Linked DNA regions of Struthio camelus. The protein of the gene in region 1 interacts with the protein of each later gene in a pairwise test. Links are inferred from orthologs where the notes say so. Each region holds a gene or a part of one and is shown in the gene's direction. Other genes may lie near its edges.

What was found.
Region 2: the proteins of ALAS1 (region 1) and DUSP19 interact in a two-hybrid assay, tested with the Homo sapiens proteins (3 studies listed by BioGRID and IntAct). The two-hybrid records come from large-scale screens. The link is inferred for Struthio camelus from reciprocal best matches to the Homo sapiens genes ALAS1 and DUSP19.

Annotation. Positions count from the first base shown.
Region 1 is NC_090955.1:22,843,035-22,851,068, forward strand, and holds the start of ALAS1 (5-aminolevulinate synthase, non-specific, mitochondrial), read left to right. Parts: upstream 1-4,931; 5' UTR 4,932-5,112; coding exon 5,113-5,302; intron 5,303-5,581; coding exon 5,582-5,794; intron 5,795-6,758; coding exon 6,759-6,914; intron 6,915-6,992; coding exon 6,993-7,215; intron 7,216-7,706; coding exon 7,707-7,891; intron 7,892-8,034.
Region 2 is NC_090947.1:17,825,457-17,833,199, reverse strand, and holds the start of DUSP19 (dual specificity protein phosphatase 19), read left to right. Parts: upstream 1-4,728; 5' UTR 4,729-5,187; coding exon 5,188-5,413; intron 5,414-5,645; coding exon 5,646-5,692; intron 5,693-7,313; coding exon 7,314-7,466; intron 7,467-7,743.

The DNA of each region.
Region 1 (8,034 bases):
CCCCACCCTCTCACCCCTTTGTACAAGAAATACTCAGATTCACTCTTTGGAAAAATACTTTTCCTCTCTGCTAGCTACAGAGAGAGTTCAAGCTCCTCAGCTGGATGTAGAAGGTGATATCTCTGCCTAAGGAGCTAACGAGGAAGGAGGAGGACTGAAAGATGCAAGAAAAATGACGGCTTGAAGTCCACGATAATCCTAACAAAAATATACTGGTTGGACCCTACTGGTCCTTTCTAAGAGAAAGACGAAAGGAACGTGAGAGGAACAAACAAGGGTGTGATTGCAAATCACTGTACGTGAAACAAAGCTAACGTTAGCTGGAAGGATTCTTGTATCAGTTCCTGCAACATACCGCACACAGCAAGACAAACTTGAAGATGCCAAATGAAAGACAGTGCTGTATGATTTCCAACTCTGAAGCAACTTGAGGAAAGTCAAGGAGACATTCTGCAATTAAGATAAACCACTGCTGGCTACTGAAAGTTGCAGCAGCCCTAATGTGGGAGTAGTGCCTTGCAGCAGAAGGGCAGGGTGCCTGTATTAGGGTGGCAACAGCTTCTCCTGTCTCATCTGAACATGAGTCAGACTGAAATAAAGGGGTTTGCCAAGCTACAGAAGTCCTCTGCATCTGGGCCTCAGCAGGCAGGTAAGAAGGATCCTGACCCAACGCGCTTGTGAGGACCTACAGGCAGCCCATAAGTTTTCAAAGGCATCCACTGCACTGGGGAGAAAATCAATTTGGCACTTGTTTGCATGACCCTGGGTAAGGAGCTTGCTCCCTTGGTGGCTCAAAAAGGGGGGTGCAGCTCACGCACTTTCCGACAGATATCCCATGCCTCAACACTCAGCACCTCTTCCAGCTTGACTGAAAACCCAGCAGACTGGGGTCACAGAGAGAAAGGAGGTTCCCTCTTTTGTCAAGTAAGGAAAACATGGAGAGCATTCTATCCAAATGAGGAAGAGATGGGGGAAAAAATACTAAAGAAATGCAACATGGGAGGAATTTTCACTATGCTACTACTCTTACAACCCTTGAATTTTGCCTTAAAAGGTAAACAGCTCTCTAAGAACTGCTAGTCTCAGCACTGGAAGTGGAAATTCTTAGACCCAAGCCTGGAATTTGAGTCTGGATTAAATCCAGATGTCAGGATCACATCCACTCCTTTGGAAAACTCTGATCTCAATATAGGAAGAGATGGGGGGGGGGCGGCGAGGAGGACTGTTTTTCTGTCTTGCCCTTTTGTGACACTGAATGGGTGGGAAAAATGAGAAATGCGTGCAGCCTCTGATTTGGGAAGCGGGCAAGAGGGATTAAGCTTTGCTAATGGTACAGTTACACGTTTTCCTTTGGATAACCTGGGTGCAGAGGGGCTTTACTCTTGCTTTTCTCCTGAAGAATCTAAAGGCTTCTCTACAGATCAAAAAATCCAATTCAAATTCAAACAGAGGAACTAATTGCTGACAGATGTGAGACTGGATTAAAGTTACAAATTGCTGGTCAAGTTCTGTTTCTAGGAATATTAGGAAAACTTGTTAGAGAGGAGAGGGACAGAAGGGAATTATTTTCATGGCAATTCCCAGCTCAGCCTGTATAGTAAACCAATCACATAGAAAGAGACCATCTTTAGCAGCAACTTTTCATGGACATCTGCAGAAATCAACTTGACCTTGTGGCAGGGTTTTTTTTGTTTTTTTTTCCTTCCCTTTAGACTTCTATCTGGGAACCACTTTCTACTGCTTCTCATCCACCTCCCAGATTGCTGGAATTTAACCTTTTTTCTCCTCTTGCAACTCATTTAGCAAACAAATGGACAAATCATCAGAACAGAATGGGCTTTAGAAAACAAAAAAAAAAAAAAATCAGCAGAGACGCTCTGGGTAACTGAGCCCCTACCACTACATCCCATGAGCCTTTCAGGCAGATAGAGCTTCCCTTGCAAAAAGCCAGCTGGTATTCATAGTCTCAGTGGCTCTTACCAGAAGGCTGTTCCAAAACAGTTACAGCCAGGAACCACCCAAATTCCAACCTACACTTCTTCACGGCCAGCTGAGTAAGCGTTTGGTCTCACATCGAGGTCATCCCCGCAGCCTAAACCGTTTTTCCTTCTTTGGTACATGCTACTCCACCTTTTATGTATTCACAGGCAGCGAACCCGTTTCTCCCATGCCCACCAGTGGCCTCCTGACAGGCTGCGTATGCCTAGTTTTCCCTCTTGGGATGAGCTTCCTGTTCCCCGCTTGGCTACTACGGTACCATCCCATGCGTCTCTGTCTGAAATCCTCTTCCTGGAGTGCGGCAACCAGCTTTTGCATGGCACTCCAGCTAGTTTCTCCTGAGCCTTGGAGGATGAGGGTAATACAGCCCCACAATTAAAATCTTTAAATACCATTTAATTGATCCACTAAAGCCCTAAGAAACTTTAATTAACGATAGCTTTATTAGCATTTACTTCATCTTCACTACCTAAAACTCCCAAAGTGAGTGAACTGGCAGAGCAGTAGAGAAGACACCCTTTCCCCCTAATTTTACCACTATTTTTTCAGCACTTTATTGGACCTAGAGCTCACAACCATCTCTGTGCACTGACGGTGACATTCTCCTTTGGCAGCTCCCCAAGATAAGGGTCAAGTTTATGTCATTTCATTGCTATTTAGCTCTGCACAACTTCTGTCATGTACAAGGTTAAATAAATTCACCAGAAACAAGCTCGAAAACAGTGTTATGATGGGGTCTGATTAACACCACAGAGCCTAAGCAAGTTTGACAGGAGAGCTCAGGGTTCGGCACCGTTTGGAGATCTCACCATCTTAGCCAAGGTCACTTTGTCTCAGCTTCCAACCTTGAGTCATGTTTGGGTAACAAGCTGATGCTCTTCAGGCTCATTTACTGACCAGACTTGACATGGGCACTTCTAATTCTAAAAGCATAAGTTTCTGTATTCCAGCAACAGAGCAGGCTAACGCACTTCATCCCCCAACCTTGCAATATAATAAGATGCTGCTACTAAGATTAGGATAACGAAGCATTATCAGATTTCTGCGGGCTTGAACCTGCTGCGGCAGGTGTCCATACAGACAAGCTTTACAGTCTGTTGCGCTACTCGGCCAACGTACTTGTCAAACCCCTTTCTCTAGGGCGGGCTGTTGTTCATGAAGTATTCCTTCCGCCCCTCTTGAATTAAGTAGCATGGTCACAGAATACAAGAAGAAGGGGAGAAGGAAAGATGCCATCAACACACTATAAATCAGGCATACAGGACTCAGTTTCTGGTGTTAAAACTGAAATTAATCCAAAGAACACCGCAATGATCCCTTAGGTTCAGGAACCTAACTCTGCTCTGATGATATTCACCAGATATCTGCACAGCAGAATTTAGTAGTCTGTTTCCTCATTTTTAAAAATAACTGATGTGGGCAACAGCTTGAGGGTAGAGAGTCAGATGTTCGATGTGGGAAGGGAGAGCAGTCATCCAAACACACATCAGGCATCTTTAAACTTTTTTTTAATAGCTTATTCACTATTATGTTTTGCAAAACATAAGTACTTGCCGCGTGTAGCACTAACTGAAAGCCAGCTATGAAGAACGAGCTCTCTTCGTGAACAAACTCAGCTAAGAACTTGAAGCACCGTCCTGGTATTGCCAAGCGCCCAAGACTGTTGTTATCGCAACCGCTGTACGGGCTTGGATCGAATACCGTACCCTCAGCTTAATCATTTATTTACAGAACAAAATAAAACTGGCACACATGCAGTTTAATGATATCCACTTAAAAAAAAAAAGCTGTGTACGTTAATGGTAACTTCTGCACTATGTTGCTGAAATAACGAGTCGAATTGTTTAAGCTTTGAATATTAAGACTCACAAGTCAACGCCGTGCTAAATTTCTAATAAGCAAGCAAACTGTGCTTAAAACACTCTCTAGCCCTATTAAAACCCAAATATCCCATGCCTCTACCGTGTAAAGCCCCATTTGACTGTTATTAGGGCTCCACGAGGAACAAGCGAGGCCAGAACGCTGTCCGGTTCCCTAAGCGGGAGCTGAACGGCACGCGGAAGCTGACAGCGACTCTGCTGTTTAACGGGGGGTTTGAAAAGCTCGACCTCCTCGGGGTCTGCTTATCCAGGCCGCCAACTTCACGTGCTGCCACCAGCATCTTCAAACGCGGTGACAGAGGCGGGATCAGGCAATTACGGATTAATTCGTAACGTGTAAACATTGACCGATACCTTCCTAGCGCCTTGCGCAGCCAAACTCAGGAGCTCAGCAGCCACAGGTCTAGACAGGCTCTGCTCTTCCCCAGCCGCGACCGTACGAGTGCCTCCCAGCACCTCGACCGCTCGGTGAGACGCGAGGTGTCAGTCGAGAGGGAACTTTCGAAAGAGCGCTCCTCCTAAACCCCACACTTGTTACTCAATAAAAAAAGTACAGCTATCTTATAAACCAGCCAAAAGGTGGCTTTTGCCTGGGGGAAGGGGTGGGGTGAGGATGAGCGAGGCGGTACTCTGCGCGAGCCCGAAATCAGTGTTTTACAAGAAGAGGAAGAAAAAAACCCGTCACCTTCCCTCCCCTGGCCCTTTCGGCGCTCGGGGGGTAGCGGCAGCTCGCAGAGCGCTGCCGACGCTTGGTGCCGCCGGGCTGGCTACGAGGAGAGCCCCGGCTAGCACGAAAACAACCCCACGGAACACCACGAAAATAAAAACCACCCTCCCTCCCAAGCGGACGAGCAGAGAGGCGCTAACGCCTGTCGCGGGCCAGGGGCCGCAGGGTTCAGCGCTACTCCCCGCCGCCCGTCTCACGAGAACGCTGTTCCCTTCGCCGGGCGCCGGGCACCGGCACCGCCCTCGGGCACGGCGCCAGCCCCAGCCCCGCCGCCCTCCGACCCTTCTGGAAAAGGCGCGCGGCCCCGCCCCGCCCCGCGCCACACCAGGCCGGGGGCGGGCGGCCGGCCGCGCCCCGCCCCTCCCGCGCCTGCGCCCATGGGGGCGGCGGTGGCAGCCGCAACGCGCATGCGCCCTGCTCGCCCGGCCTATATAGGGAGCGGCGGCACTCGCAGCGGCGAGGCGGGTGCCTGTCACGACAGGGCGGTGAGGCGGCGACAGCGACACGATGGAGGCGGTGGTGCGGCGCTGCCCGTTCCTGGCCCGGGTGCCGCAGGCCTTCCTGCAGAAGGCCGGGCCCTCGCTGCTGCTCTACGCCCAGCACTGCCCGCGCATGATGGAGGCGGCGCCGGCCCGCGCCCTCGGCAGCTCGGCCGGGTGCCGGCAGCGCGCTGAGGAGACCCCGGCCGCCCGCCGCGGTGAGTGCGGGGGGGGGGGGGGGCGCTGAGCTCCCCGCCCCGGGGTGGGGGGGGGGGGAAGGACGCGTTTCCCCCTTCCTGCGCCGCGGTGCCGGACGAGCGGCTGAATCAGGCGCTGGAATTTCCTCCTTCCGCGAAATAAGACGCAAACGCTCGGTTAAGCGGCCCCGGTCGGCTCCTGCCAAGTCCGGCGCTAAGGGCTTAGGTAGAAAAGCTCCAGTAACCGCGCCGAAACGATGAAACTGAAGCCTCTCTCCCCTCCCCTTCCTCCCACCTCAGAGGCCAAAAGTGCCAAAGACGCCGCTGAGCAGAGCGCCGAGGGATGCCGGCCGCCCGCCGGCCACCCGCCGCCTGCTGCCGCCGGCCCCCCGAGCTCTGCTACCAAGTGCCCCTTCCTGGCAGCTCAGATGAATCACGGGAACAGTAATGTCTTCTGCAAAGCCAGCCTAGAACTCCAGGAGGATGTGCAGGAAATGCAGCCCGAGAGGAAAGGTAGGTATTTTGGGCTCTGAAGCGTTTGCCTTTGGTGCCTGACTCCACTCTAGCACATGCCAGGTCTTAACTGACACCACTTAAATTGTGTCAGTAGGACCATGGGAGATGACAAGCTGTTGTAGCAGACACTGGGTGTTAATGGTGTATCAGCTGTATTCTGCAATGATTGCCCAGGGTGATTCTGATGTGGGAATAGCACCCTGCTTTTAGGGCTGTGAACCAAGCTGTAGCACTTGTACCCAAAGTAGATGTTTAGGACTCAAGTGAGCTTTACCAAAGTGCTGGTATAGACAAGGTGGTATATCCAGAGAAGAAGGAAGTCAGGACAGGGTACTATGTAAATAGCAGCACAAATCCAAGCTGGCAAGCAAGCAAGCAACCTTTTTCATTTGTTTGACATGACAGAAGGGTGTTGGCTGGCTTGGTGCAGAAGGGCTGTCCTTCAAAGCAGCAAGCTTCTGACAAAGTTTTGTCGAAAGATGCTTTTCAGCCATATCAGTAAAACTTTTGCCTTTCTCAGAAAGGAAGCTTGTTTTACTTCTCTGGTTTTCTCTGTGGCTTGGGGGAAAACTCTACCAACTGAACAAAATGCTGGGAGTTAAACAGAAGCTGCTAACCAGAACTCCTGACTTCAGTTAGCTATGTACCAGCTCTTTCAGATGGGAGCTGCACCCTTATAGAGTAGGTTTGCTAGTCAAGATAAGCCAAGTGTGGTGCAAGGACATTGCATTGTCTTGTCATTGATTAGCAAACTAGTTTTTCCCCTGTTGTCTCATACAGGGCAAAGTTATAAGCCAATAAGAGCCGATGCCAACAGGATGCCCCATGGATTCAACTGCAGGCCCTTAAAGAACAAAGGGTTAGAGTAACTTAAAATATCTGCCTTGCTGAACTCATAACTTACCTTTTCATTTTGTTTCAAAAGGATTAAGCTCACTGCAATTCTTTGCCATGTCTGTAGGTACAGAATTTGCCAAAACACCAGCTAACTCCACAGTGAGGAGCCCTCAAACTGAGGGAACAGAGCAGAGTGGCTTGCTCAAGAAGTTTCAGGATATTGTGCTCAAGCAAAGACCAGAAAGTGTCTCTCATCTGCTTCAGGATAACTTGCCAAAATGTAAGCTTAGCTGGCAAAACCCCTGTAGCCTGTCTGCTTGTGATTAACTCCTATGTACTTAAGTCTGTCTTATTTCAGCTGTGGCCACCTTCCAGTATGATCAGTTCTTTGAGAAGAAGATAGATGAAAAGAAGAAGGATCATACTTATCGAATATTCAAAACAGTAAACAGAAAGGCACAAATCTTTCCCATGGCAGATGACTATTCTGATTCTCTTATCACCAAAAAGGAGGTGTCTGTGTGGTGCAGCAATGATTACCTGGGGATGAGCCGTCACCCTCGTGTGTGTGGAGCAGTTGTGTGAGTAGTACTGTGCTCTTAAGATGCAGTTACAAGCTACGGTGGTCTATAGAAGCTTTTATAGAAAGTCCTCCCTGGAATTTATACTTCTACTGTACTTCATAACTACTTTGGCATTACTCTTTCATATAATGAAGCCTTAAAGCTTATACTTCTCTTAAGCCTTGATAGGTGGTGGTTTTCCCCCCCTTCCTCCAGGGCTGCAACATAACCTGTCAGTCGCTGACCCTGCTCCTTGAGCTTCCTCAGCAGCCCCCAAATATTAGCAGATAAACTGGATTGTATATTGCAGCTGTACTTGATACCTTATTCATTAGCCTATTGAATCCCTGAGGTGTGCAAGTTGCTCAAAGACCTTAAAATAACAGCTGCTTTTCACAGCCAGCTCTTTTTAGAACGATAGAGATTGTGTAGAATGTTTTCAGCAATAATCCTATATTCATCTTTGTGTTGCTCAGTAACACTAATGCCTCTCTTTGGGCACTCTGTAGGGATACACTGAAACAACATGGTGCTGGAGCAGGAGGCACAAGAAATATTTCAGGAACAAGTAAATTTCATGTTGATTTGGAAAAAGAACTAGCTGATCTTCATGGAAAAGATGCAGCTCTATTGTTCTCATCTTGCTTTGTAGCCAATGACTCCACCCTCTTCACTCTAGCTAAAATGCTGCCAGGTGAGACCTCAAACTGCATCCCATGTTTACCACAAAGACACAGCCACCCTGTCCTGAGCAGTTGGGAGTACACTTCCCAAATGGCTGCCCAAACTTGAGAATTCATCCTCCTCAGCCAGAGAAGTATTTGTCCTTTGACTGCC
Region 2 (7,743 bases), on another chromosome or scaffold:
ATACTCCTTATGGTGGCTATCAAACACTTTGGCTTTGCAGTCCGCCCTGTTCTCCAATGCTTATATTCACCACTGTCAGTGACACACTATAAAAATATGTATCTTTTGATCAGTGAATCAGTCCACTCATTTGCATGGATTGCTCACAAGGTGCAGTGAGTGCAGAGAGAAATAATGCTCTGATAAGCGTTTGTAGGCCCATGCCCATATGCATGGCTTTGCTTCTGGGAGAATTTCCCTGCAGCAAGATGAGGATATACTCCAGTAGAAATACCACTGGGTCAGGCTAGCTTTATAAGAGATCAGCAAGCAGTGCTGTTTGAATAAAATAAAATAAAAAATAAAAAATAAAAAATAAATTTAAAAATAAAAAACAAATATTAAAACACAAAAATAAAAATACTTTAAAAAACAAAATAAATAAAACAACAAAATACATTTAAAAATAAAAAATAAACCCCTCCAAAACAATAATAACACAAAATAAAAAATAAAAACAAAAATAAGAATAAAAGATAAAAGAAAAAATACAAAAATACAAAAATAAACAAAATAACAAAATAAAATAGAAGGCTGTCTACCTTGAGGCTAGGGATAGAGTAGGTCCACAGACTTACCAAAATTGTTAGGAACAACCACTGAGCATCTAATTGTTTACAATCTTTTGCAACGTGGTCTGGGCTTTCACACATTATTGCCAGAGCCAGATCACCAGCTCGACCTCTGAGGCTACAAACTTACTCAAAGGCTTAAAGAAGTGGCTCTCTTTCTCGGCTTGACAAACACGCATCTCCAGCTCTAATTTGAAGAAACACTAGGTAGGTACAGCTGATCAAGAATGATCTAGCATATGTCAGGAACACGGCTTTAATGGATGTTTTGATTGGTATTGGAAGTCATTGGAATGGGTATTGGAAGAGGGAATATGTACGTATCTTAGCACGTATAGCAGGTATACTACCTGCTTCAACTGGAAACCTTCTGCAGTAGTAAAAATGGGCACCACAAACACGTCAAATCAAAGCACAAAGAAATTTCAAGACGAGTGAAATTTCAAGGGAGGCCACCACTTCTGGCCTCAGCCCATTCCCAGCCAAGAATAACTACAGATAGTTTAGCCGACAGGTTTACTGCTTCTAGTGTGTAATGAACTGGCGTAGACAAAAAACACAGAAACAAAGTAACAGCTTGCATTGAAGCTGGGCTCACTGAGCCAGATTGCAGTATACAAAACTGCAGCAATAGGTAGCCTGCAGGAATGCCCCGGTAACTCTTAGTTTTGACAGTGGTCTGTATATAGCCTTCAACATGTTCCTGCTTCCCATCACTTTCTGTATTTAGACTAGCTACTATGGTAAACTTTCAAAGTGCCATGTACTTACTAATCTGCCTCTGCCTTTGTCCTTTCTCCCTGTGATGCTAGAAACAACCGCAATAACTGACAAAGTTACAGTTTCTTATGGCTTACCTTGGTGATGTAGCCATTTCAGCACATAAAACTGACAATCCTTGAAGGCTTTTCACTCCTCGCCCTATCCTGCTCCAGAGGAGGCTTTGCTACAAATTCATTCTTCCCCACACAATGCCCTTTCAGACTTTGGTCTACACTTTGGTAGCTTTTTAAGTTCACATACTGTTTACTTCACAGCCATCAATCCACTTAAGTCAGATTTTCCAGACATGTTACTGGATACCAGGATAAACGAGGTTGCACATCCACACCCTCATTCAGCATATGGGACACAGGTGGGCTGAAGAAGAGGCTAGGTTTTCCTCCACAGACCTCACTGACACTTTGCTGGGACTCTGGTTTTCTTACAGAATATTCTTCTCATGCGTACTAGATGTAGATCCACTGCCGCTCATGACAAGTCTAAAGGATGAAAATAAATGAATGAGAACAAACGAATGGTTGTCTCTCTCAGCTAAAACTTCTCTCTATGGGGGAACTGATGCGGGTGTACAGATATGTGCCAAAGCCAATGTCTCTGAAGAGAAATATGTTTTTGTTTTTTTTTTTCAAAGCATGTCATGCTCTAGCCATCCTCCCACATTCCACCTTGCCCTTGCTTAGGGTGGGAATGATCCTGAGCTCATGATTCCACACAGTCAGCTTCTCCAGCAATAACAAAGGCAGCAGGAATAGGCATCATATAGCCTATAGCTTCGCAAAGTTTGAGAATCTGCATCAGGTATGGGCCTGATGGTGGGCACACCATTCTGGAGTGTAGGAGGCAGACAAGTCATTGCTAAAGTGCTCGTGTGTGTGGAGGCACAAATCGTGGTGGAATAGATACTATGTGGGTTGCTACTCCTGCTGAAGTGCAGGCAGCCTGAGTTGCCTGCCTCGAGGGATCCAGGACAAACTGATTGAAAGTGAGCCAGTCCTCCATGCTGAGAACAAGTACCATCAAGTGCTTTGTTCAATGTCTAATGAAGATAGAGCAGTTTAAGCTTTAAGCTGTTCTTCGCGCTTGTTTCAATATGAGATCATCTTTCTCAAATACGGTCAGCCCCAGATAGCACAATGTATTTCAGAAAAGGCTTATTAGACCCTTATACAATAGCATTTTCATTATTTCTCCTTACTTTAAATGCCTCCTGACACATCCTAGGGTCACGCTTGCCTTTCTCATCACCACGTTACATTCATGATTCATAGTCATTCTGTGACCAACTGCTGCACACAGGTTTTTCTCCTTCTCAGTTAATTGCAAGTAATAAACTTCCAGATTGCAGCAAAGGCCCATATTGTTAGTTAGATATTAACTAACAACACTTTGAATTTTGACCCATTTCTTTTACTCTAGTCTTCAAAGTCATCTGGTTATTTCAGTTTGAAATGTCATTAGCATATTAATCAGGGTTCGATTCTCCTCTTCAGTTAAGTTACTGACATAAGCAATCAGCTCTCAATTTTTAGTGCATTTTATAATCAAGTTCAACCACCTACCATCCTCATTCTTCAGAATGCAAGGCTGTTTTCTCAGTCAGTTATCTGGAATGTCTGATTACCATTTCTTTGACAGAAACTGGCTCTTTTACATCGATGAGTAAGGGCGGTGTAACCTGGGTCTAAATGAGTGGTGGAAAGAAATGAAGACAACAGAGAGAGATGACATATTGTCACATGGATTTTCTGAATGTGTACAAGCTGTTTTCTTTAACAATTTGTGCCTACATTATACGTTTCTTAGCTTATACTACATCTACTAGAACACACTCAGCTGAATTTCTTGACACAGACAAAATTAAAGGACCGTGAGCTTAAAGCTCTGCTGCACATGCACTGGCAGATAGCTTATTCATAAACTAAAGATTCAGCAATACCATAAATGCATTCTACCGAAGAGGCGGAGACAGTGTTCAGCTCCTGCTGTATCTTTTGAGGAGTCTTTTATCTTTAGCAAGGCATGCAAGAGAACAGTATTCATCTGTGAACTGAGATCCCATCTTAAACTCTAATCTCCCCAATCATCTTCTCTTCTATTGTGTAATGGAAAATATGAACAACTTGACAGCAGCCTGCATGACAAAAAATAGTGTTTGTGAATAGTCAAGCCAGATCTAGTGCTGATGATGCAGACATACTAATTAAATAATAGTACAGTAATTCTTTTTGTAAACATCTGCAGACTGAATATTCAGAGTGCTAAAAATAGCACAGTTTTTATGTCTAGTAGTGACCCCTGCTGTTTAAGATAGTTATAGCAATGATAAACACTTCCGGAAGATAAATCAACTGCTTTGGAATCAGCTGCTTTTTTGTGTCCACATGTAACGGAGGCTCTTCCTCAGACGTTAAAGAAGAAAATTTATTTGTATTACTAACACTTAATTACCAGGGTCTTATACAGGGTCTTTCACAGCTTAGTCTTGGAAGCTCTCAGGCAACAACATGCCTCAGGTTCGTATGGGGCAGAAGTCAGTTATAAGGCACGTTCCAGAGCAGTGCTACTATAATGGCAGACTTTTCAGAGTCATCGTATCCTCTCAGCTCTAGCTTTAAGGATATTTTAACACTAGAGGGGAAGTACTGTAGAAATCCATCTTTATTCTATGAATTGATATGGAGAATTTCTTCTTTAAAACTGAAATGTACTTCTGGTACAATTTAAGTTAACAGAATTCCCATTTACCTTGATTATAAACAACGATTTCACTCCAAATGTACCTTTTTATTGCAACGATTACACTACAAATAGCACTTTATAGTCTATATAGATTACCTGAAAATATGGGCATTAAGCATCTTGGGAACAAACGGAAGGGAAAGAACAGTGTTACCCTCCCTCCCTTTTCCTTATTTTGTCTCTCTGGTAAATTATGATTTGATAATATTCATAATAATTTGGTAAATTATGAATTAAATGATTCTGATTAGTTTTTGGTTATTGGCCCAATAAGCCAGGAGAAAAGTGATTTTGCATTCTAATGTTTTCCGTATAATTGCTTGTAACATTTTCTCATGCTTCCATGAGGAAACTCACAATCAGACAGGCATTTCTCCACGACTTGTTTTTCGGAACAGCAGCATGTGTTTTGAAGTGCAGCCTCAATCAATCATACCTGCTGCATTTTTCATTGGCGGACCAAAAGCCCAGAAAGGAGAGAAAAAAAAACCCAAAACAAAAAAGCCCTGGCGTTTTCGGTGAGCCTCCAACTTCCCCCCAGGGTCGTAAATACTAAAGAAAAAGCGCTGGCAAATCTGCCACTTCTGGTTCCTTCAGCAAGACAGCTCTATGCTCTCCAGGGCGACCTGAACACCTTAGGGGGAGTGCTCACCAGCGCTTTTCCACAGCCACGGATTGGAGGAGAGCCCGGCGCTCCCCGTGGCGGGTAACGGCCGCCTCGGCATCCTCAGCCGCGGGCCCGGCCCCTCCTTCCCGCGGCTCACGACGATCCCGGCCACTGCCGCTGCCGCCCCACGCCACGGCCGTTACCGCCGCCCGCAGCGACGACGCCAGGACGCGCGAGAGCCGCGCGCGCCCCCGAGGGCTCCGCAGCCAATGGGAGGCGGCGCGCGCTCGGCCAATCGCGGGCCGCCTGGCGCCGCGGCTTGAGGAAGGCAAGGCGCGCGCGCTGCTGCCGTTGCGGTTGCCGTTGCGGTTGCCGTTGGGGCGGGGGGCGCCGCCCAGCTGCCGGCGGGCGGCGTTGGTGGCCGGCGGAGCGGCTCTTGCCGGTGCCATGCACTCGCTCGGAGAGGAGATCCGGAGCTTCTCCCGGGCGAACCTGCGGAAGCAGTGCACCAGGGTGACGACGCTGACGGGGAAGAGGATCATCGAGACGTGGCGGGGCGCCTGCCTGCAGGTGGTGGAGGAGACGGAGCCTGCCGGCGGCGGCGGCTGCGGTTACGTGCCGGACCTCAGCGCCGACCTGCAGGTCGGCGTGGTGCGGCCCTGGCTGCTGCTGGGTGAGTCGGTGCCGCTGGCGAGGCCCGCTGGAAGACCCTGCCTCGCCTCTGGCTGGATGGTTACAGCTAACCGTAGACAGTAAATGTTCACTCTGCTGGTTTGTAGTCAGTGGGCTCCAGGGAAAAGGGTCTCCAGACTTTCAGGAGTGACTGTTGTTGACTTCTTGACAGTGTGGTGCTACCTTGATGCCAAGTGATAATTCACGTGATGGTAAACTTGCTCTCTTTCCAGGGTCGCAGGATGCTGCTCATGATCTGGAGACGATGAAGAAGTATAAGGTAACATCGTGTAGCGATTAAAAACATACCTCACGTAGTGCTTGTTAGAGGATTTTTTTTTTAAGTTGGAAAACTCTAAAAAATGTATGTTCTCAGGTAACTTTAAAGATAGTAGTAATACTACATTTATACTTTAAAAAGGCTGCTACCAATAAAGCTTGCAGCAGCTCCATTCACAGATGGATGGATGCATGTGAGTTTCACAAGAGGCTGAAATACTTTGCTGCAAGACTCATGATTGTTTAGCACTATTTATAGAATACATTCTGGCATTGCTATACATGTTCTTAAGTTTCAGATGCTAGCCAGAATCAAACCCACTGGCTTTTATGGGAGTTGTTAAAAGGAGAAAAACAAAGCAATAACTCTAAGTCTGTCCTGAACATCCATCTTTTTACTCTTCTTTGCTAGGGTAATGAGGTGGTATGGCCTTCAGACCATTGTGCTTCTGCAGGACAGGGCGTGCACTGACCTGGCATCCATTGCCATCTAAATGTCACTTCGCCATAAATTAAAACAATCCATGACTTCACCATACCTTGAACAGAGCAAATATGGTAGGAAGCCAGATTTGCTCTTTTCTGCCAAGTGCAAGTATAGTTTACTCTGAAATTCTTGTGTTCCAGTAAACATTACTGGTGAGTCAGTAGAAACAACATCACTGTGACGGGCTTGGGCAGGCTTTGAAATTTGGGGGATTATGGGGTGTCATTCTGTCAGTACAGGGGTGACCTGTACTGTCATTCCCATTGGTTTCTCTTTTATTTTCCATCTGTATGCTGACAACTCCCTTTTCTGTTTAAAATCCTTACTTCAGTCTGTATGTTTGGGTGAGCACAGATCACTTAATTTCCTCTGATTTGCGATGAGGGGAGGGGAAAAAAAGGAAGTCTTCAATCACATGATTTGTAGTAAGAGGTTTAAAGCTTATTGACCAGGTTGTATGACTGGCTTGGTGCCATTGAGTATCCTCAGACAGCAGATCTCAGTGTCACAATAAATTATGGGGCATTAGCATTCATCCCTGAACGCTATGGTATTTACGGTCACTCTAAATTTCTTGGCACTTCTCTGCAATACTTTAGCTTTCTGTCAAATTCAGTTTAGCTGATCAGTTTCTCACCACATCTGACAAATTAATATTTATTCTTCTTTTATTGTTGGGTAGTGTGTCTCTGTACTGTAAAATGGAAGTTATGCTCCATCCAGAGTTGTTTAAACTGCAGTGATGAAATAAATGATTCCTACTTGTAAATTGAAATGGATTTTGAGTACCTACCTGGTGATCAGATATTAAATAAATTAAAGTTGTGACTCAGAGTAACTTCAGTAGATATGAAGTTACTTATTTGAAATACCTTCATTGCCCTAATGATCATTGCCATTTTGTTTTAATAAAAAAGAAGAAAAGTGAAATATAGCACAACATATTTTAACACTCAGTAAAACTTTACTTTGAAAAAAACACACCATAGGCAGGCTATATATATAAAACTGAATGAACAACAGTGCAGTTGCGTACATTACAGTCTATGTATGTCTAATGAATAGTCTACCTTTCTTACTGTTCAGTTGCTTGCAGTCTTCAGAAAATGCTTTTTTTTTTTTTTTTTGGACTTAGGTTACTCATGTTCTAAATGTGGCATACGGAGTCCAGAATGCCTTCCTCAATGACTTTATATACAAGAGCATTTCTATTCTGGATCTCCCAGAAACTGATATTACCTCCTACTTCCCAGAATGTTTTGAGTTTATTGAGAAAGCCAAGATCCAGGTACAGTATATGAATAATTAATGCTACTAGTTATCCTGTTTAGATTATTTATTGCACTATTTAAAATCTAAAGCAAAAAAGAACATGTGGCACCAAATGAGTACCTTTGTCATTGCTTTTTTCATTTTAAGTAGAGAATTCAAGCAATTTCTAAGCATTCGTAGAAACATGACCCTGCTATTAATCCCCATTCCCTATCAGTGTTACTTTTTTTAGAATGACTGATCTGCATGTTATAGAGACATGCTTCTTTAACAAAGCTGTTGTGTCTTTAGAT